3 linked regions of the Neodiprion lecontei genome follow. The protein of the gene in region 2 purifies or fractionates together with the protein of the main gene of each other region. This does not show direct contact. Links are inferred from orthologs where the notes say so. Each region holds a gene or a part of one and is shown on either strand. Other genes may lie near its edges.

Region 1 (6,904 bases), on a different chromosome or scaffold from region 2:
TTCCAAAAATAGTCCGTATTGAGTTACAGTAGGACTAGGTGTTGATGAATTCTGAATATTCTACTCGACTATCGTGAAATGGATCTTTCAACTTGCCATTTACGAAATAGCCGGTATAACTGATTGATTATTTAATAAGTTATTGTGCATGAATTTGGAGCAAATAACAAGACCAGAGAGGTTGGGATTCCAGATTTGAAATACAGAAAACTAAGATTCATGGTTTTCTTGAATCAGAAACTCGAAAAAGTTTCAATTTAGGGTAACAGATTGGACCTTCTCCGTGACACATTATACCGTGTACGGTATCCCTATACACAGAGACGCATTGGTTATTGGACTTGTCTACAGTTGCAGAAGTTTAGATTTACCAACGTTTCTTGCAGAGAATTGCGACTTGTTATAGCTTACAGCCAGCCACGCGTCCGTATGCACCCGCAGTCACATACATCCGCCCACCTTGTCGCGTACCGGCACTTTGAGAAGAAAAATTATCGAACGCTCCCGCTAACATATTTCAATTTCTTACTACCCAATTTCCAAGAAAACTAAAGAAGTAAAACTACCGCGGGACTAGGCGTACCTTCAATACACAGAGTCTAATGTAATATCGGCCAGGAGTGCGATTGACGCAGCCAATTTTATCTGAAACCTGCTCAAGCGGCTCTCTTTTATATACACAAGGGTCGGGCGGCCAATGGCTGTTACTGTGGAAAAAAAACGAGAAAAAAACCCACTCGAAATCCGTTATGCTGCTTACATCTTTCCCGCTGAGGATTTACGGTTGTACCTAGAAATAAAAAAAGTTCGATAATTCAGCGTCATATCGCATGAGGCAAGTTAGGCAGAAATCGCACTTAATCGAAAACTTAGAACACTTCAGAGGCACTGAGTTACAGTAACCTTTGCACTCTATCAATTAGACAGATTACCGTAGCTTATTTAAAGAGCCAGCTTAATCCATTCGCGTATATGTACGTGAAGTACGGTGTACAATTTTGATTTACGTGTTTTACAATTTTCTCGAGATATACTGCATATTAAATAATTTGGTGTACGGCATTGAGCAAACCGTGTCCAACCACCGATGTTTGAGGATCCCGAGTCTGATGGACAGCCACGGCATAATGTGCCCTGGTAAAAATACGGCAACGGTAAAGGAACCTACCCGAGTCCGTGATCCAAGCTTCGGATCATTCACCAGGGTTATTTGGTTAGGCACTACATGAACCATTTCTAACCAATTAACAGAGGGGTTCCCTTTCAATGTGCTTTTAATTCATTTAAATCGTCGAATTTTGTTTCACACTCACAATCAGGACGAAAAACTCACAGTATCACGGCTTCACCAGCGAGGTAATGAATTTTTATGATAATTCGTTCAGTTCCAACCCTTCCGACTATCGATCTCTGTACTAAACTCTATAAAGGTGTTCTGTATCATCCACAGCTTTCTTGATGCATCAGTGGTGTTATCGACTGTCAGTATATAGGGTAAGTATTGATCGATTGCAGACACTCGTTTTCAACCGAAAATCAGTTGCAAACAAGAACCTATCTCGTATCAGGGGCATCATCGGAAGAGGCTTTTACATTGGATGTAAGGACTCTGAGCTCTCTCCCTTCTCTCAAACTCTACTTTGTACCGACTAGTAGCGACTACTCTCATTAACCAACCAGGAACAAGTCTTTGCATTAGATGGTTCTCTCTCTCTAAAAAAAAAAAAAAAAAAAAACTCCGTATATGTAAACTGAGTGGAATAACTGTTGCTAAACAGCTGGAGAGACTTTACATTTATGATTACGCTCTCCATGGGCCATAGAGTTATACCATGGGTACTATAGAAGCTTGTAGCCATTCCTTGGTAAAGTGAAAACGTTACAGCTGGGAGGGATGTCCCGCATCGAACGAGGTTTCATTATCTCTTTCACAGTCATCTTCATCACCAAACTAGCTTCTCCTTGTCCTCACTTTCACAGCATGCCACTTCTCTTCTCTTTTTACTTAAGGTGTTGCGAATTTCCGTGAAATACGGGTTACGTATTGTGAAACACGTGACAAAAATTCACTTTTATTATTTTATTTCGCATGCACGCTTGCGTGGTATCACAGAAACCAGAATCATACATTTTATATCTCTGAAGATCTGTCAGCGTCAGGAGAAATCGAATTATCGTTATTTTTTTGGAAAATTCTTATTGCTAACTAACTGGATGTCTGTTGCCACCGCTACCAGCGTGTCCAAGTCACTAGGCTCCAAATTATAAGACATTAGAATCATAGTTATATACTTTGACGCTCGGTCTGTACCCAATAGAAACCTCAACCTGGGCTCGGAGGTGCTCAACCTGCGATAAATTTAAAGACAAATGCACTGTCTTCTAACAAATTTAATATATGAAATGATAAATACGATTACTCAATAGTTCATCTGCTACTCACAGTCTTATAAAAATAAGGCCAAGAAGGTTCCATTCCGCAGGCTTAGGGATAACATTGCTAGCCGATAACGAAAAGGTGTTTACAAGAGCTTTCACCGTTTTTCCACACCCGTTAGTGCTGATACATCCATCAACAGCAAACTCGCCTCCAGCCAAGGTACGCACCATTTCTGGCAACCTAAAATATTATACAAGCGTTAATGCGAGCTTTAATTTGGAATATCTAATCTCAATGCAGAACCATCATTACACTTTATCAAGTTTCTCCAAAATTATACGTCTCCTGAGTGTTCTAGGCTCACGCTCTCCAAGCATTGGCATGAATGTACTGGAATCATCTTCCTCATTAGCAACTGCGTTACCTGATGGTGGTTTTGTTGCATCTATCAAAGTTTGGCCTTGGTAAAATGCTCGTACCTACGAGAAATAGACTACTAGTAAATTTGAATTGGATAAAGACAATTTGTTGCTGACAAATGACAGTACATCCAATCCTATTATACCTTGACCTCTATTTGGGCACTTGCTTCTTTCAGCACACTGTAATCTGGTAGAGGTTTTAAATCGCGTTTACTATCTTCCTCGTCAGTGTCTTCATCTACTTGGCATGAATCGATTTTTTGGCATAGTTCAACATATTTCTTTTGGAATTTACTGTCCTTTGTATGTTTCGTAATTTCATCTATTTTTTGCTGCTTCAACCACACATCTCCCGACAACAGAGCCAAGGAATCCAAAGTAAGCCACTCTTGTAAATAATGTTTGATACGTTCAACAAACCAGCTTGAATCCACCTTACTTTTCCTGACATCTTGTTTGCCATGTACTTTGCGCGTTTTATCTTCTTTTGCATTTACTTTGGAAATATTGTTTATGCTTGATCGAACATCTTGTTCAACCGCCAAAGTATCACATTTATTACTTTGGCGTGCAACTGGTTCTGCGGGTTTGTGAAGATTGGCTATTTCTTTAGCACTTACATCCCCTTCAACGATTTCGGTGCCTGATTTATTTATGGAATTATCAGGTACATTATTTATAGTATTTTCAATCGCATTATTACTCTCTGTTGATGGTAATTTGTCAGACACAATAGCTTTATCAGTTTTTTGTATTTCGCATGAATCAACAGAGACGTTTTCTCGTCCCAGGTAAACTTCATCGCCTGGAGTACTTTTTTTAATTAATCCAGTGGGAGGTAGCAGCTGGAAGCAAGGCTTTTCTTTCGGATTTCTCAGCCACAGTGGGCTAGTGAGCATTTGTTCAAGAATGTAATTTGTTGCTCCATAACAGTTATTGCTGCAGAAATTTTTTCTGCGACTTACATCATAAACCTTATTATTGCGAGTCGATATGTGATATTTTTGATTTATATTCAATTTCAATGGATTGTCGCACAGAGCATAACCACACCGTCTCAATATAGCTCTTTCTTCAACTACGTCGTCCATGTGACATCGATTGATATGCTCCAGCTGTAGAAGAAAATATTTCATAGTTTAAACGGTGTATACAATACAAATTAACAACGAAAATGGTATTTCATTAATATTGCCGAATCTTGAGCAACCATTCGTCTAACATTTTCCAAAAGCCAAGTTTGGTCGACTGCATCATCTATCAACCGTTCTACAATTGCTAAAGCTCTCGCATCACACTGCCGTTTCTTAGTCAGAGCCAGCTGCAGTTGTTCCTTGCTGGAAATAAAACGAAACGTAAATGTTTTACTTACTACCCAGTAAACTTGCAAAATATCAATTTCCTACCTCATTTTCATTTTTGTTCTGCTCCCATCGTTACGTTTCCTCGACGTTGATGTCATCGTTGTGTTTCAATGTTTCAATGATTTATACCTGTAATATCTGGGACAACAAGGGCGAATTAGCGTGAAAAAGAATTATATTTAGGTTACGCTAGGTGAGATTAGGGTCGGTTTTATCGATGACAAGGTTGTACATGCAATTATAGTTTGATAAGATTCCACCAACAGCCTGACAATTGATTCAGGAATATTTGCGATACATTATTAACAGATACTACATTTGGATGCTACAGAGAAATCTCGAGGAAATTTGAATCGCTCCTTCTAACCTGTCAAACTGACAGCTCGGTTCTTGGTATAAGACAACCATACAAGTTGTTAAAAATGAGTGTGGTGCACACGGAGCATTAAAGGTGGTGGTGCAGTCATGGAGTCTAGATACAAGGAGAACGATCTTAACGTATAGAAGAAACGGCCGAAAATGTGGAGAAATAATTTCTGCACTGGAGGCGCTGCCGTTGATAATATCAGGTTTATTTTTTTAAATTTAATAAGAGAATGCCGTGATCACGTGATTCAAGGAGCAAAATAAACAAAAAAATAAAAAAATAAATAAATAAACAAATCAAACACACTGACGCCACCCATGTCGAGCGAGTGTAACTAGAAGTTCCATCCGCATTCGGCATCTTATACCATTTTCCAAATCCCTGCCGAACCAGCTTCTGCTGCTTCTGCTCGCCGTGCGAACTTGCGGGGCGAGGTGTTTCGTGTGTCAAGTGGCAATGTTCCCCGATACGTGAAGTAACGTTACAATATAAATATTTGAAAAATGTATTCAAAATCCGTGATTGTTTCGTGCATAGTTGTGCTCACCTTAGCTTCGCTAACTCAGGCGAGGATTCACAAGCTTGAGATAAGGGTGCGTTGACGAATTATATTTTTTTTCAGGAATCTTTATACGCGTACTAGACACGCGCGTGTGTTGTACGTACAGTAGTACCGTCTCATCGGTGAAACATTCCAAAGGAAAATAATCAATTTCCTTTATTGCAGAACGACGTCAGAGCTTACATCGCTCTCAGCACATTCGGATTTTACGAAGGAGGCACTTTGCGCGTAAACTTGACTAATTTTAAGGTGGAACAGGGCGCCGAGGATGCAGTGGTAGGTTTGACGTTTAACCCTCGATTTACCTGGCATACGTACACCTGGTGTACGTATACACATACATACGTACATTCACCCAGCAATATTCATTCCATCACCGACGCTTCACCTTTTCCGTATAACTGTATGGTGAGATGAGCTGTCGTTAACATTCAGAGGAAAATGAGTATTTTTTTATACTTTGACATATACTAGTAAATCGTTTCTTCTTCCCAACTTTTATCGAACCTGTTCCATCAGGTTGCAATATCACGTAGATGTGAACGCAGGAAACTTATCATTTATTCCCAACATTGATAATGTTTTTACATCTTATGAATTTGGTATCTAATGTGGGAGATGTAAGGTTTTTCCAAGATTATACGCTTTGCATTCCGACAAATGTGATTGCACAAGCATGTTTGCTTGTAACATTATGAATACGAGTATTGTACTCAGTGCCCGATCATCTGATAAATTGTATTACGTGCCTATTTATTACAGGACAATACTAAATGCAACTGCCATTTATAACACTATAACTATTTCAGTTCGGATTCAGCTTGGAACGAACTCTCAGCGATGTTAGTAATTCGTACACAGAAAATCAACGAGAAAAATGTCCATTACTAGATGAAACAGCCCAGCTGAATGAGGCTGTTTATTTTAAAATGGATTTGAGGCATTCAATGTAAGTATAATTAACAAGGAAGGAAAAATATACAGTGCAGTCCAAACTTCGTTAAATCAGTATTAACGTGGGAAATTCATAGTTTTAATTTTTGCTCCATAACAAATATTTACAGAATGAACGTAACCTGCAAGAAAGACTTGAATCTGATATCCATTCACCCGAGTGAAGATGTGGTACAGGTTCGATTAAAGAGAAACGCAGAACGATTACAGGATACGGCCTCTTCTCCAAGAATAGACCATGCCATGTCAGATTTTGGTAAGTCTCATTTCAATTGTTCATGTAATGTGGTTCGTGTCGCAGATGTGGACGTTTTTACTTTATTCCACAAGTTCTGTGATATTGGATTAGAGTAACAACTAACATCTTGTATCATCGAAAGCATTTTCAGTAGTGATGAAATATAATTGAAAAAAAGAGAGAACTTTTAAGTATTACTACAACACTACTGGCAGAAGTGCCACCAATGATTTATTCCTCAAGAATTTGTAGCTAAAATTAAATTACATATGAGTATGGTAGTAGCTGCGTGAGCCTACAGGTGAAAAAGTCATACCGGACACAAAACTGATACATTCGACCATGTACACTACGAATTGATACAACTATTAATTGGGTTAGTTCTAAAAAAATAAATAAATGATAGCAAGAAGTGATCTAAATTTGTGTTTGCTCCCAGACGTCTCATAAATTCAAAAAAAAAAAATACACAGAGAAAATGATGATACCTAGTGTATGTAATATTCATTTTTCATGCATAAACTTCGTGATATTTAGCTCTATAAATACGTACCGTTTACATTACGAATAATTTGTAAGGAGTTTCATAATGGACACAGAAAATGGAATTCAAAATA
Region 2 (6,904 bases):
ATGTTATGACTTAACTACGTGCCTTGGGTAGGAAAGAAAAATCATGATATCGAGCGAAAGCAAAGAAACTTAGTATTACCGTCTACAATTAGGTATCATCAGGTTTAATACGATAAAATTAGTGGCGTGGCAAAGTCAAGACGACGAAAAATAGCATGGACGACTGTTAGTAAAAACGCCCGACAAGACGCTGATCCATTACTAACTCGTATGCACAATTATTACGACGATCCGGTAAGGGACGGTCTATAATATTATCTACAAACAAGTTCGGCTATACAACTAATATATAATACTTACGATTATCGGTCATCGTGCCCAGTGGCGTCCTTCACAAATGCGAATAGCGACGCTATAATTGCTCAAGGCACACCGCACACGCAAAAGTACACGCAACGTCTGGGTGTGAGAACACGTAATGGCGGGAACGGCTCGGCAACTTGGGGACTACCGGCGATATCGTGAAGTTATACCTACGAGTTACGCGAGTTATACCCACGGCGATGGCCGACGTCTACCACCACAGTCACTCGTAATTCTCAACTTAGAGCTATGGAGCGTACTTATGGAAGAACCGCATTCTCTAATGGCGGTGCGTTCAAAACATGGTCAAACTCTGGATGCAAATGAGGGTACATAAAATAATCGACGTGGCGCTGATTCATACTGCGTTGATTGATGAAATTGAATGTGTTAGTCACACAGTTACACTTATTGTATCGTAAACGTACACGCTCCATACTTACTACTCTAGTCTCCATGCTCTACCCATCCATTGAACTGGCGAAAAATGGAGCCAAAGTGATGAAAGAGCAAGATTTATATATATTAGGGTTACTCCGTCTCTCTCACTCTGCATTTGATTGGTCGAGTGGTAACGTATCGGCCAATCGAGTCTAGAGCGAAAGGACACATATACCTTTCGCTCTCACTCTTCCGCTAACTCTCCAGTTCTGGACTATGTAGCCTTGCATCAGGCGGAGAGGGTTCTCGGGGTAAAACGCTTTTCGTACGAAAACTATCCTTACTTTATTTGAAAGATAATTAGGTATCAATACCAAATACGCGCGGAACGATAAAACACATATGATAAAATACAATTGTTGCAATAATGTGTTAAATAAATTAAAAATAGATCGAATGTACAAAAAATGAAATAATCAACGGCACGATAATCTTGCGCATTTGGTATTTCTCTTTCAAGTTTTCGGATTAAAACGGTGAGCTTTTAATGATTTTCATTGATTTTGCTCCAGTTTGATCACACACTTGGGATTCCGTTGGTTTTCCAAGCGTTGACTAACTGCAAGTGAGTGCAGACATATTTTGATATACTTGCCTGCGATATTGATAAAATAAATTTCAAAAGTCTCATTTTCAGTAGGCTTCTTTAAATTTTTTGGTATTGCTTCTTATTGTTAGATGTTAAATTATTCAAATATTCGGTTTAAATGTTACAGGATTTGTTATATTGTAGGTAATATGTACAAATATCATAGGATAATTCATGTTTCGATCAATCTACAAATTAGTTATACCATACATTAAATGAAATATTGGTTTCCGTTTGAAATTTGGTGAATAATAAATTTTGCGTTTATTTTACTACTTGGCATAAATATTCTTAATCAATTCATTCTTTTATAATTAGCTAGTTGTTTTGTGAACACATCATTCATCTGATTGACTTTTCTCTTGTTTAATATCAAATTATAAGAGTAGTAAGTAACAATTGTTTGCACAAGAAACTTCGCTCAAATATCGATGATTAGCAAAGTACCTCTTGTGGCCAATCAACATATTCGAAACGGTTCCACATAGATTTTCAATTCCTAGTATCGGTATTCCAACAACTGGTGGCATTGACAAATTGTCATGAATACAAACAATCTTTTTTCATAACCGAGTTTTTCTTTTGTTTAGTATTCAATAGTCAAAACAATCTATATAGACATTAGACTATACTACTGGACACACAGCCTTTTATCGAAACTGAGACGATGAAATTAGGTTTCACAGAACTGCGTGAATTCCTGGATACACTTTGGCCGATTACAGGACTAAAATGGTGTGAGTAAACAGAGTGATAGACAGGCCGAGTTCACCAATAAACATCCTATCTAAAATTACTGTAATTGCCATGAGGTTTTATTTCGCCTATACAGTAACTGATGCATGCACGACAATACATTAACATGTATTGGCTGCAGTTTAAAAATAACATGGGATATTCTTTAGTTAAGAAAAAGCTTAAATTTCTTACGTTGCGTTGAATTGAGCAAGGCACATGGGCAGTTCTATGATTTCTGAATAAATGAATTAAACTCGTCGTCTCGTTTCACTTTGTGTACGAACCACACGGGTATGTATAATCGATTAGATGAATAAAAATGGAAAGAATGGAGATCACGTATTGGAATGCTGCGAGGGTGTGAGACCTCCGGGATGTTCAGGGCTGTGTTTTTGTTTTTTTCGTTTTTTCTCTTTCTTCCGTTTCTTTCTCTCTTTCTCCTCGTCATGCTTCCTTTGTTTCTTATGCTTCTTTTCATGGGGATCAGGTCCCCCTATATCAGTGGTAGTAGCCTCTTGACCGCTCAGAGTTTCGCCAGGCTTATGTTTATGCTTTTTGTGCTTATTCTTGTGCTTTCGCTGCGGTGCCTGATTTACGTAACGATACTGCTCTGGGAGCTGTAACATTAAGAAACGGATATCAGACAGTTTTGGGGCAACAATAAAATGAGTTTCTTTAACGGAAACATGTAAATATAACGAAATGAAATAACTCACAGGTCCGGGATGTAGTCTAAATCCAGCGAGTTGCACGCTGGTGAGTGGAAGAAGGTCTTTTCCACAGATTGGAGGCTTGTCTATCACAGACCTTAGAGAACTGAAAGAGAAAAGAAATATGTTAATGAGAATAATAGTTTAAACGCGTTACAATACAAAATAATAATGTTTCAAGTTCGTACCTATTGTCTTGGTGACCAGGCGCGTCGATGATACCAGGTAAATTTGGCAAAAATGATGAGAGTTGTTCCTTGAGCTTTTTACCACTGAATTTACTATAGGAATGCTCGAGGCCATAATAGGCCATCAAATTTGTAGCCCCCGTGAGTTCACTTTGCCCTAGAAAATATTTATATGACATTTGAATTAAGCTTGAAAGAACTAAGAACTGGCAACGTGTATTTAGTTATGCATTATTCGAGGTTTTAAATTGACAAGTGATAATCTCACCAGGGGGCTCCTTCATTAAGTAGAAAGGCCCACTGTGGACGATTGAGGGGTTCTTGCCGAGGGAAATCGTCGTTTTGAGAGTTCCAGTCGAGTCCTGACGTGAAACTACAGGGGAACGGGCTCCCCTCGGTGATGATTTTGGTGAGTATTGTTCCACTTTACTACGAAACTGATCACCCATCATCATCCTCCTGGCTTTACTTCATCGCCCTTTCGCTACAGTAACAATGTTTTATCTTCCTATTTTGGCACAAGCACTGCAGCGAAATAAACAGTAGGGTAAAGACCGATGGGAACTGTGCGCTCCGCCGATGCTCCACCCGGACGTTATTTCACTGCAGCGATGATCCTCGTGTGATGCAACTGTACACAGAGAATCAACGACACTTTACACAGTCTAGTGCATATGTCAGCTATTTTAATAATCTCGCTAGACAAAACGCGAGGATCGGAGCCTCGCTGAAGAACTTGGACGCCCGCTGAGTCTCGGCGACCTTATCACATTGTTTAAAAACAATAAATAACGCGATGAAAACTGACATACATAACACCCATAATCGCGACAAACTCACTCAACGAGCTCAACCACACTCGACGCAGACAAGAAACTGCGATTTGGAAACATTAACGATTCCTGGCCTTCGAATATTTAGGTAACCTAGAAGTGCACACCTGCATGAAACTAGCGGGAGTCGTACACGCTCACTTTTGGAACACAGAATGGACCTGCACACCGTGTTTCACTCTCTATACACTCTACATCACTGTGACCGCATATAGCTTAGCTGTGTGTTCGTTCTTCTGCCGGCAAATGACGCTTTTTACATAGTGAAATAAATACGAGTACTCTTGCGCATGAAAAAAACTGAAGGGTTAAATAATAAATAAAGTGGTTATCCTTTTTGGTGTTAATGTTATCTGGACCATAAATTTACGATATCTACACGATATCGCGTTCGCGATACCTTAACCACGAGTTTTTCGCTCACAACTGGAAAGTGGACAGCGTATCGTCACGTCCATTTTATGATAGGAAATATAGATAGTAAAACATATCGCCTGTTCAACTACCGGTAACCATGTACGTAATAATTTTGCAAATTTAAAACTACTTTTATGACTCAAAATTTACCGTAATTGTTTTTGTGCTCATGGTCAGCAAACTGTGTCGTGCTTTTTTTTTTTTTTTAAACGCTGTTGCTATTCGTATGGTAAGGGTGACTAAGAGTGTCGCTTTCGGAACGTATTTCAACCTTTTGTGGGCAACAAACACCGGCAGGGTGGTTTTTATCTTGGATTCCCATGTAAATTCGGATACCAACAAAATATGATAATTCATGAAACCTTCGGTGACGGCATGATGAAGTCCGAATTTATTCTAACCCCTATTGTGTGACTCGCGAACAGTCTACCATACAAATTACATTCTATTGAAATATTTGATTTTTTATTATGTAAATATTTCCCCAGGGCACGCAGCCGCAAGGATAGCGCTGGTAAGAGCGATTCAGAAGCCACCGACAAGGAAAACAAGAAAGAAAAAGGGCGAGAAAAGAAGAAGCGTGCTGCTTCCTCGTCAAGTAGTGGTTCGAGGTATGTTCCAAACAACTACAGACATAATTTCATTATACGGACATTGAACCGATCTACACTTAATTGATTTTGCAGTTCATCAGATAGCAGCTCGGCATCTTCAAGTTCATCTAGTGGCAGCAGTTCTAGATCGAGCTCTTCGTCTAGTTCGTCATCTAGTAGCTCTGGGAGTTCATCAGCAAGCTCCCGAGACAGGGGTCGCAAAAGAAGCCGGAGTAAGAGCGCAGATGTCTCAAGAAAGCATGACAATAAAGAGAAAGAACGAGAAAAGGAAAGAGACAAAGATAAGAAGAAATCTGGTAATGCAGTGGCCGAAAAGCCAAAGCCCAAAGCCCGTTCTAGGTAAAACTATCGCTTTTACAATTTGTCTGTTAGAATATATTGTTTGCTTCGTAGGCAAAGTAAAAAACTTATAACACCTGTTTCAGGTCGCATTCACCACGGCGAAAACGTAGAGAACGTTCTCCAACACCAAGGCCGACAAAAATTCATATTGGAAGGCTGACACGCAATGTTACCAAGGAGCACATTGTCGAAATATTCTCTACTTATGGAATCATAAAAATGGTAGATTTTCCCCTAGACAGATTACATCCTCCAAGTGGCAAGGGTTTTGCGTATGTCGAATTCGAAACTGCAGACGAAGCGGAAAACGCTATGAAACACATGGATGGAGGTAAACATGTTTGGGCATAAGTTGTATTAATAATAATCTATTAACTTGATCATTAGTTGAAATAATTTTCAAACACACCACTTCTCAATTCCAGGCCAAATAGATGGACAAGAAATTACTGCTGCACCAGTATTGCTGCCAAAGCCAAGGCCACTTCCCATGCGCAGGATGTCTCCTCCCATGGGCCGGCGACCCCCTATAAGATGGGGTGGTGGAGGTCGTAACTCGCCACCACGTTACCGAAGACGTTCTCCACCATTGAATCGTCGCAGAAGCCCCCCGCCTCCTCGCCGAAGACCGAGAACACGCTCCCGAAGTCCTCCATCAAATCCCCGTCATCGTCATCGTCGTTATACAAGATCCAGTTCAAGTAGCTCTCGATAAAGTCAAATGACCGTGTAACTTGATCTTGCATAATTTTTTTTACATTGGAATTATTATAAAATCTGGTGTAATCAAATAATTATGGATAAGTAATGAAATTGAATATTGTAATTTCTCCGACGGACCTCAGTCACCAGTTTCATTGGTCGGCTCCTGATCACTGTTGACTGGTGACATATTTCAAATAAAGGTCGAATATTAGTTGAAAAAACTGTAAATTCCTCCCTTATATACCGAATATAATGAATAACAAAACTTTCATCGAAATCAGCTTTACATAGTTTATGTAAACGAAGGTTAAGAACATGTGATAAAACATAATTTGCAGGAATCTATGCGATAACGCAACATCCACAAAAGTGAAGTATCACAAAGTGGTAATGAACACAGCAATAGAATTTAATTTTGATAAAGTTTAGTTCTGCTCCAATTCAAAGTATCTGGAACGTATTTGGGAATAGCAGAAAATTTTAAGGCACAACATTGATTGATGCTACCATCTAAAGATTACAGTCATTGTTACACACGATGCAGGATAAAATGTAGGACTGGGAAATATTGAAGTCATGGTTACTTTGATAGAAACTATGATTATTAGACCCTTTTACAAAGAATCAATTTTAGAAAAAATCTATTCACACAAAATGTTCTATGCTCGCGATATCTACAAAACAGAATCATTGCATCGCCTTGCAATTTGCACTGATGAAAAATATCTACAATCTTTAAATAGTATGTAATTATCAATTATATAATATACAATTTTATAATGGCTTTACAATGTCAATAAATCGTGGGAGCCTTACAATTCATTTGAAAACAAAAACCATAATGGAAAGGGTCCCGAACAGAATTAACGAAGCCCATGGCACGGAGAATCGTTTTAACGGATTTCCTATTGAATCTCTGGTACTGCAACATAACAACAATGTTCTATCGCAGTAGTTTTAACGTATTATAACGGTGACTGGAACGAATTTTTACGTTTTATATAGTACATACATATGGATTATC
Region 3 (6,904 bases), about 6.1 Mb from region 2:
CAGGCAAGGGTAGGAAGGTCGCGATGTACCGTGATGTTGATAAATTTTGTAATCCACAGCGTCAAACGATCACAGAAAGTTTTTTCTCAAAAGACTCCATTTGAGTCTCTCGATCATTTGTAACCATTTGAATATTAACGAGATCGAATTTCCCATTTCTTGTCAGTATGCAACCACTTTTCAATTGTTATTCAATTCAATTATTCAGTCATTACCGATCATTGTTCTATTCAATTGATATCTGTGATCGTCTGAATGGGCAAATCGCATCTCTGGACTATTTATCGCGTTCCGTGGTACGGTAAATAGAGAGAGATGCTCAGCTCGAAGACTTCGCGTCGAAGAGGACCGCCGACCGTCACGCCACACAATAATGCATACCCTCCAACCCCCCTTGCGATTTCGATTTGTAATCTGAGAACAACAATCCGCATAGAAATATATTTAATTCAAAAAAATGCAGATGTGGATTGGGTATCTACAGAATTTTTCGGACCAGTCCCAGATAATACAAATTTTTTAACAGTTCAGTCTGTCGCGCCTTTTTGCGCGTAGATTTATCACGGGAATTGAACGCAGCTTTTTGCGCGTAAATTAATAACGATAATCGGTCACGTTTTGTTGTTCGTCGATTTTGCAAACAGTATATAAAAGAGTTACGCACTCTCGATGTGTTGATTTTTCAGCTCCTCGTCAATTTTTTGACGAATAATAAAGTTTCCAATTTCGACGCCACCTTTGGCACGTGGACTTGATACGTTTCAGTTATGAGGCAAAGCGCGGCATTTGAAAACTAGCGCTCAAGGCGCAGGACCAAAAATTTCGGTAGTGTATACTAGTAGTGGAATGTAGATAGTGACGTTAGCGTAAGTATTTATGAAATTTATCCAAAATTTACAGATATACTCGTTCAACTGATCGTTTTATTTGTTGTTACAGGGCAACAAAACCATTTTTTCAACAAACGCATTGAGAACTGTAGAATGTTCAGTCGAAAAAGATATTCACTTTAATGTTTCAAAGCAGAAAGAGATATCGATTCAAAAAACTTGGACTGTTTTTTATTCATCAATACAATTAATAATTGAAGCAACGAACATTAAAGCGAATATCATGTTGGACTCAACCCATTTTTTGTCAGTGTATGAACTTATGTGATTGTGCTAATCATACCTTCGTCTGTTTTAGCTAATCAAACATTTTATCTGTTTTAGCTAATCGAACACTGTGTTTCTTTCAGCTAATCAAACTTTTTGTTTGTTTCAGCTAATCAAATCTATTGTCTGTTTCAGCTCAACAGATTTTCCGTCTCTTTCAGCTAATCAAACTTTTTTACTGTTTCAGCTAATCAAATCTTCTCCCTGTTTCGATTAATTAATTTGCCTCTTTTTTCGTTAATTATATTTTTATCTGTATTGACATATGTCACTAATTATATCTTCATCTGTTGCAGGTAACAGCTTTATTGACTATACTGAAAAATCAACGTTTCATTGTTTAGGCTTACGTCTGGTCTAGGTCTGGTTCAGGGTCAGTCATCTTGTTTTCACCGATGCATAGATTTAGCGATGCAGTTCAGAATCATCATGATCACAATGTGTGGTAAAATTTATCTAGCTGTAGTTTATTTTTCAATGGTTTTACAGTCTTTTATTGCGATCGTTTTAGTGCCAGAGTTTTTTTTCTCAAGTCGCTCATAGGTCATGTTCGGTTTGTATTTTGCGGTAGAATTATTCAGCTCTCTCGTATTTTGGTGGTTGTGCTTATTCTACTCCGATTTGTTTTCATTTCTTCAAAGATTTCTGCATCGTCTTCCGATAGGTAAATGACAACATTTTACAGCTATTCGTGTTTTTGATCTTGGTTTAGTTGTAGATTGTTTTGCGTATTCACCAGGTTCTCCATTTTAGTGATTACCTCGTACCTCATAAGAAAAAAAAACCGTGCGCGAACTTCCAAAGTTAATTGCCGTTTACATATAAGATAAAAACGATCACCCTTCATATATAATTAAAACGACCATCATTCATCTATAATTAAAGCAGTCATCTTTCATCGATAATAAAATCACGGAACCCTGATGTCAGTTAAGAAATTATTTTTATATTTCAGCTGCATCTTTTTTTGAAATGAAAGTATGAGCGTTGACTGAAGATACATATTATTATCTTCAGTTAACGGTCCGAGTTAAGTATTAAACATATTTACAAAAATTACATAAGGTACATATAGGAACAATTATATATCTCTATTCTTTGATTAACTTCTTCGACTGTTTCCCATTCCTTGCATCAAGAAACGGTTTCCAACTCTGTCAACAGTAAACCAAGTGCATGTTTATTGTGCATCTATATACATAGCATTATTTTTGTCGATGCGATGGATTTAAATTGATATTGCTGAATTTGGCCTAAATGAATTTGCGTAGTTGAAAAGTAGGTATACGGCGTCCACACGGAGTTGTATGAAAATTTCAGTCTGTTCCCGTTCGTCATTCCATAGGCATAATTATATTCGACTATTCGATGAGCGATGGTAACATCAGCTACGCTGTTGAGTTGCGCGTACAAGGTAGGATGCAGGTGGCGCCGCTTGAACATGAGTTTATTTCTTCCATTTTCGATTAGGAAAAGTCTCATAAGGCTATCAGTCTTTATATATCTTCAATCATGGGTTTTCCGTGAAATATTACGTTCCACAATTTCAAACGTGCGCTATTTTTTGGGCATGCGCAGCAATTTTCCCGCGCCTGACTGCCGCGTTACTCCAACGGTCACTCGCATAGTCACATTTCGCGGCGTAATTCTGTACGAACATAACCCCAATGTGACAGATTCTGTCAGACTTAGTTTCTGAAAAGTAGGGTATCGATTTCAAGAGATTCTGTAAATACAAAAAAAAAGTAATAAGTTGGATAGCTGAAGACCGTTAACGGAGGTAAAAAACAACATGTTTTATCACGTAAGTTAACCTCCTCTTATCTTATTCGCATTGAAATGTGTTTAGTTCGAGTTGATTTGACTCAAAATTGCCATCATATTACAGATATCGTTGGAGCATGAGATCTTGTTGCATCCGAGATACTTTGGACCTCAGCTACTTGATACGGTTAAACAGAAACTGTACACTGAAGTCGAGGGAACGTGCACTGGAAAGTATGTGATAATTAATAACTGATTGAATTGCTTTTGAAAATAGGTATTGAAGTCAGGTATAGCGATTGAAATTATGCAAATCTTATTTCTCATCGCAAAACATTACGAACAGAGTGGAACTGCCTTTATTCTTATACTTTAAATGTTATAAATGACAACATTTTCCATTACGTCAAGCATTTCACTTACAAAACATTATTCACCTCGAATTTCTATAGGTATGGATTTGTCGTCGCAGTGACAACGATAGACAATATTGGAGCTGGTATTATTCAGCCAGGACAAGGTTTCGTTGTATATCCCGTAAAATATAAGGCTATTGTTTTTCGACCTTTCAAAGGAGAGGTTCTGGACGCAGTCGTAACGCAAGTCAATAAGGTATAACAAGTTGTTATGTTGATATGTGAGTTTTGATCATAATCGTACAAACATTACTCTGTGTATGTCTTACGGTTGTAGGTTGGCATGTTCGCTGAAATAGGACCATTGTCTTGTTTCATATCTCATCACGTGAGTATTTTTTTTGTTTCCCATTTATCATTTGATGTAAACCTAAATTTTTCGTTTTCTTTTATTTCAGTCCATTCCAGCCGACATGCAATTTTGTCCAAATGTCAATCCACCTTGTTATAAGTCAAAGGAAGAGGTGAGAAATTTATTATGAAATTCGATATTGGATTGTGATGTTCTGTGGAAATAATATTTTTGCTTATACAAATTTTAGCTAGTTTTAGAAAATTATGAACATCGCTTTTGATAAACGATAAAATAATATTTAGCCTTGATTCTGAAATATATATTTTTGAATTCGTGTTATTATCTATCTTCTATTAAAATTTGTCATTGAGAACAAGCCATTGTTGTCAAAGAATATGAAATACCTTTTATTGATTATAAAACAATTAGCTAAATATTGCAATGGCTTTGGTACGTTACGTTATACAAAAAGATGAATTTATCGTGGTACAATCATAATGATAGTAAAATTCATGTCAAAAAATAACTGAACTAACATGTACACGATGTTAGTGCTTCATAGAAACATTTCCCAAAGTTATTTCTTATCGAACATCGAAGGTTGTTTCGAAGGTTTCTTCTGAAACAATCTAAGGATAATCAATTTGTTATTCTTTCAATTACAGGATGTAGTAATTCAAGCAGATGACGAAATAAGATTAAAAATTGTCGGTACCAGAGTTGATGCGACAGGGATTGTAAGTACACAGATTTACAAAGAATTTTTTTAACGAACTTATTTCATTAATTTTCCTGTGAATCATTTTCAGTTTGCCATTGGTACCTTAATGGATGATTTCCTTGGTAAGATTCTGTTTAGATTATTCTGTATACATTTTTTTTTCATTTTCGAACTTACATATCTTTACTGTTAATTGAATGTTAGATTTTAACATTTAGTTTTGAATGCATGGATTCTAGGCTTGGTGATGTAATGGGAACTAATTACTGTACTTCGAAAATGTAACATATTATCCGATCCATGGACTGACATAATTTATGGCACGGAAGGAAGTGGCGACCAATGTAAAGTGTGACAATTGATCCTGGGATGTTTGTACATTCATCTAAATGACTAGTTTGTGACAAGTTCAGATGATTAATCAATGGCCCAAATCGGTTATAAGATAATAAAAGATACTTAAGTTAGGAATTACGTTTGAATTCTATGTGTAAATAAATTTTTATCTTGGGATACGTTTCTTCATTCATATGTGCAGGACTTGAAATTGTTTCACGGATTAGGTATATAGGATTGAGTGGAGTAATATAAACCAAAGGCACGGTGTACAAGTATGTATACATAATAGTTTTATTTTTTCACGGGCTATAGATGACGCTTAGCGGTGGCTTCGTTTTTAATTTACAAGCAAGTAAACTCTCTTACATTCAACGTCATCTCGTGGTTTAATTTGTCAATGACTACATTCAATCATCTGACCATCACAGTTTCTTAATAAATTATGTAATCTACGTAATGAAAATCTAACAACAAACTGCATTTGTATGTGATACAAATCAATCGTCGATAATTGTTGAGAACATCACTCACTCGAAAATTTGAATCTCAGACTGATTAGTTACACTTTTGTATGTTCCAAGTATTTGGTGTACCGGTGACTAAACTAAAACTTACCTATTCACTAGAGCTTTACTTTGTCAAATCTATCTAGAAGCAGAAGTTAATGTCTTTACTATTGAAACACCCAATTTGTCATCACATAACGCCAGTTGCTCTTTTAATTGAAAATCGTTCGGAATTGTGTCAGGTTATCATTGTTTTACATTTGGTAAATGACGCTACTAGCCACATGAATAAAATGCTAGACAACATTACATAGAAGTCGTTAGTGATATTTCGAATTTAATAATTTTATTTTCAAAGCATCTCAGGGCTGGAACAAAATTGGACAAATTTGAGATTTAAATGTTTTATTACAGTAATAAATTATTTAAGTTTTTCTAACGGTAACAAATTTGTTGCTAAATGCTCTGTATCTCCTTGTAACTTTCTAAGTAATGAATCATGTCGTCTTGACAATGGTCGCAAGAGGTACATTTCAGGTATCGTTTCACCTGGCACTAATAAGCCCAAAAACAGGGCTAGTTTTGCCGCAACTGCAGATGAGTCTTTGGTTATTGGAGTCTCATCTCGATCAGGCATCATTTTGTCTGCTACATGTTTGTAAATCAGACCCTCACCATTTACATAAAATGTAGAGAATCCGTCATACCAGCTGGAAGAAATATAGTCAAAATGTGTCTTTCCAGGTAACAGCTAATTCAGACTTTATAGTGTAGATGTTATGCTCATTTCTTTCAGAATTTTCAAATCGATTCCTGATGCAAAATATTATACAAATTTTTTAAAAATCTTCTTCAGGAACTTAAAGGTGATTTTTTTCATAAATCTCACTTCGGAAGTAAATAATGAATGACAAATCAAATATTTAGCCTAGTGTCGCTAAAAAATAGATTAATTTGTATGGCTCAAATTGCTTATTTGAATTGATTTGAGAAAGACTTAGGGGGAGGGGGGGGGTATCGTTACTTTTTTCAACATTTTTTTACAAGATACAGGCAATGTATATTAAATTAACTAATTATACCATCGTAGAGTAACATTTCAAGAATATTTTCTGAAAATTTCAGTGGAAAATATTAATACCCAAGCCTTCGGCAGCAAATCTCCGGAGACGTCACGAAAAAAAGTTGTTTTGCGGTGACGGTTGTAACTCATCACTGGGTCGTTTGAAATCAAAAAGTAAAAATGATTTTATTAAATTATTAGTTTCCCCAGGTAAAGCTGTAGAGTTTTTTTATTTAATTTGTTGTTATTTTTTATTTTACAATAACAAATTTGCCGATTTTTTTAAGCGAAAATCGCGTTTTTAACTTTCCAGTGTTACCAAAGTTGAAAAATCAATATATGTTATTGTAAAATAAAAAATAACAAGAAATTAAAAAAAAAAACTCGACAGCTTTACCTGGGGAAACTCATAATTTAATAAAATCATTTTAACTTTTTGATTTCAAATGACCCAGTGATGAGTTACAACCGTCACCGCAAAACAATTTTTTTTCGAGACGTCTCCAGAGATTTGCTGCCAAAGGCTTAGGTATTAATATTTTCCACTGAAATTTTCAGAAAATATTCTTGAAATGTTACTCTACGATACTGTAATTAGTTAATTTAATATACATTGCCTGTATCTTGTAAAAAAATGTTGAAA

What was found.
Region 1: the proteins of mediator of RNA polymerase II transcription subunit 19 (region 2) and putative RNA polymerase II subunit B1 CTD phosphatase RPAP2 purify together in Homo sapiens (affinity purification with mass spectrometry; 3 studies listed by BioGRID and IntAct, with this or other methods). This does not show direct contact. The link is inferred for Neodiprion lecontei from reciprocal best matches to the Homo sapiens genes MED19 and RPAP2.
Region 3: the proteins of mediator of RNA polymerase II transcription subunit 19 (region 2) and DNA-directed RNA polymerase II subunit RPB7 purify together in Homo sapiens (affinity purification with mass spectrometry; 3 studies listed by BioGRID and IntAct, with this or other methods). This does not show direct contact. The link is inferred for Neodiprion lecontei from reciprocal best matches to the Homo sapiens genes MED19 and POLR2G.

The regions. Positions count from the first base shown.
Region 1 is NC_060261.1:545,650-552,553, forward strand, and holds putative RNA polymerase II subunit B1 CTD phosphatase RPAP2, read right to left. Parts: upstream 4,675-6,904; 5' UTR 4,534-4,674; exon of another isoform or gene 4,305-4,533; 5' UTR 4,265-4,304; coding exon 4,209-4,264; intron 4,140-4,208; coding exon 4,013-4,139; intron 3,918-4,012; coding exon 2,946-3,917; intron 2,860-2,945; coding exon 2,693-2,859; intron 2,621-2,692; coding exon 2,444-2,620; intron 2,350-2,443; coding exon 2,178-2,349; 3' UTR 2,066-2,177; downstream 1-2,065. Other genes in the region: protein GPR107, read left to right, coding at 5,037-5,126, 5,261-5,371, 5,905-6,044, 6,160-6,305.
Region 2 is NC_060263.1:2,150,363-2,157,266, forward strand, and holds mediator of RNA polymerase II transcription subunit 19, read right to left. Parts: upstream 3,860-6,904; 5' UTR 3,425-3,859; coding exon 3,238-3,424; intron 3,127-3,237; coding exon 2,970-3,126; intron 2,888-2,969; coding exon 2,788-2,887; intron 2,689-2,787; coding exon 2,407-2,688; 3' UTR 1,447-2,406; downstream 1-1,446. Other genes in the region: RNA-binding protein cabeza, read right to left, coding at 301-313; RNA-binding protein with serine-rich domain 1-B, read left to right, coding at 4,317-4,318, 4,708-4,830, 4,906-5,172, 5,259-5,506, 5,601-5,890. UniProt on the Homo sapiens protein: Component of the Mediator complex, a coactivator involved in the regulated transcription of nearly all RNA polymerase II-dependent genes.
Region 3 is NC_060263.1:8,225,517-8,232,420, reverse strand, and holds DNA-directed RNA polymerase II subunit RPB7, read left to right. Parts: upstream 1-2,678; 5' UTR 2,679-2,949; coding exon 2,950-2,961; intron 2,962-3,045; coding exon 3,046-3,155; intron 3,156-3,373; coding exon 3,374-3,533; intron 3,534-3,614; coding exon 3,615-3,665; intron 3,666-3,735; coding exon 3,736-3,801; intron 3,802-4,297; coding exon 4,298-4,369; intron 4,370-4,441; coding exon 4,442-4,475; intron 4,476-4,592; coding exon 4,593-4,606; 3' UTR 4,607-4,866; downstream 4,867-6,904. Other genes in the region: uncharacterized protein LOC107222869, read right to left, coding at 5,620-5,908. UniProt on the Homo sapiens protein: Core component of RNA polymerase II (Pol II), a DNA-dependent RNA polymerase which synthesizes mRNA precursors and many functional non-coding RNAs using the four ribonucleoside triphosphates as substrates.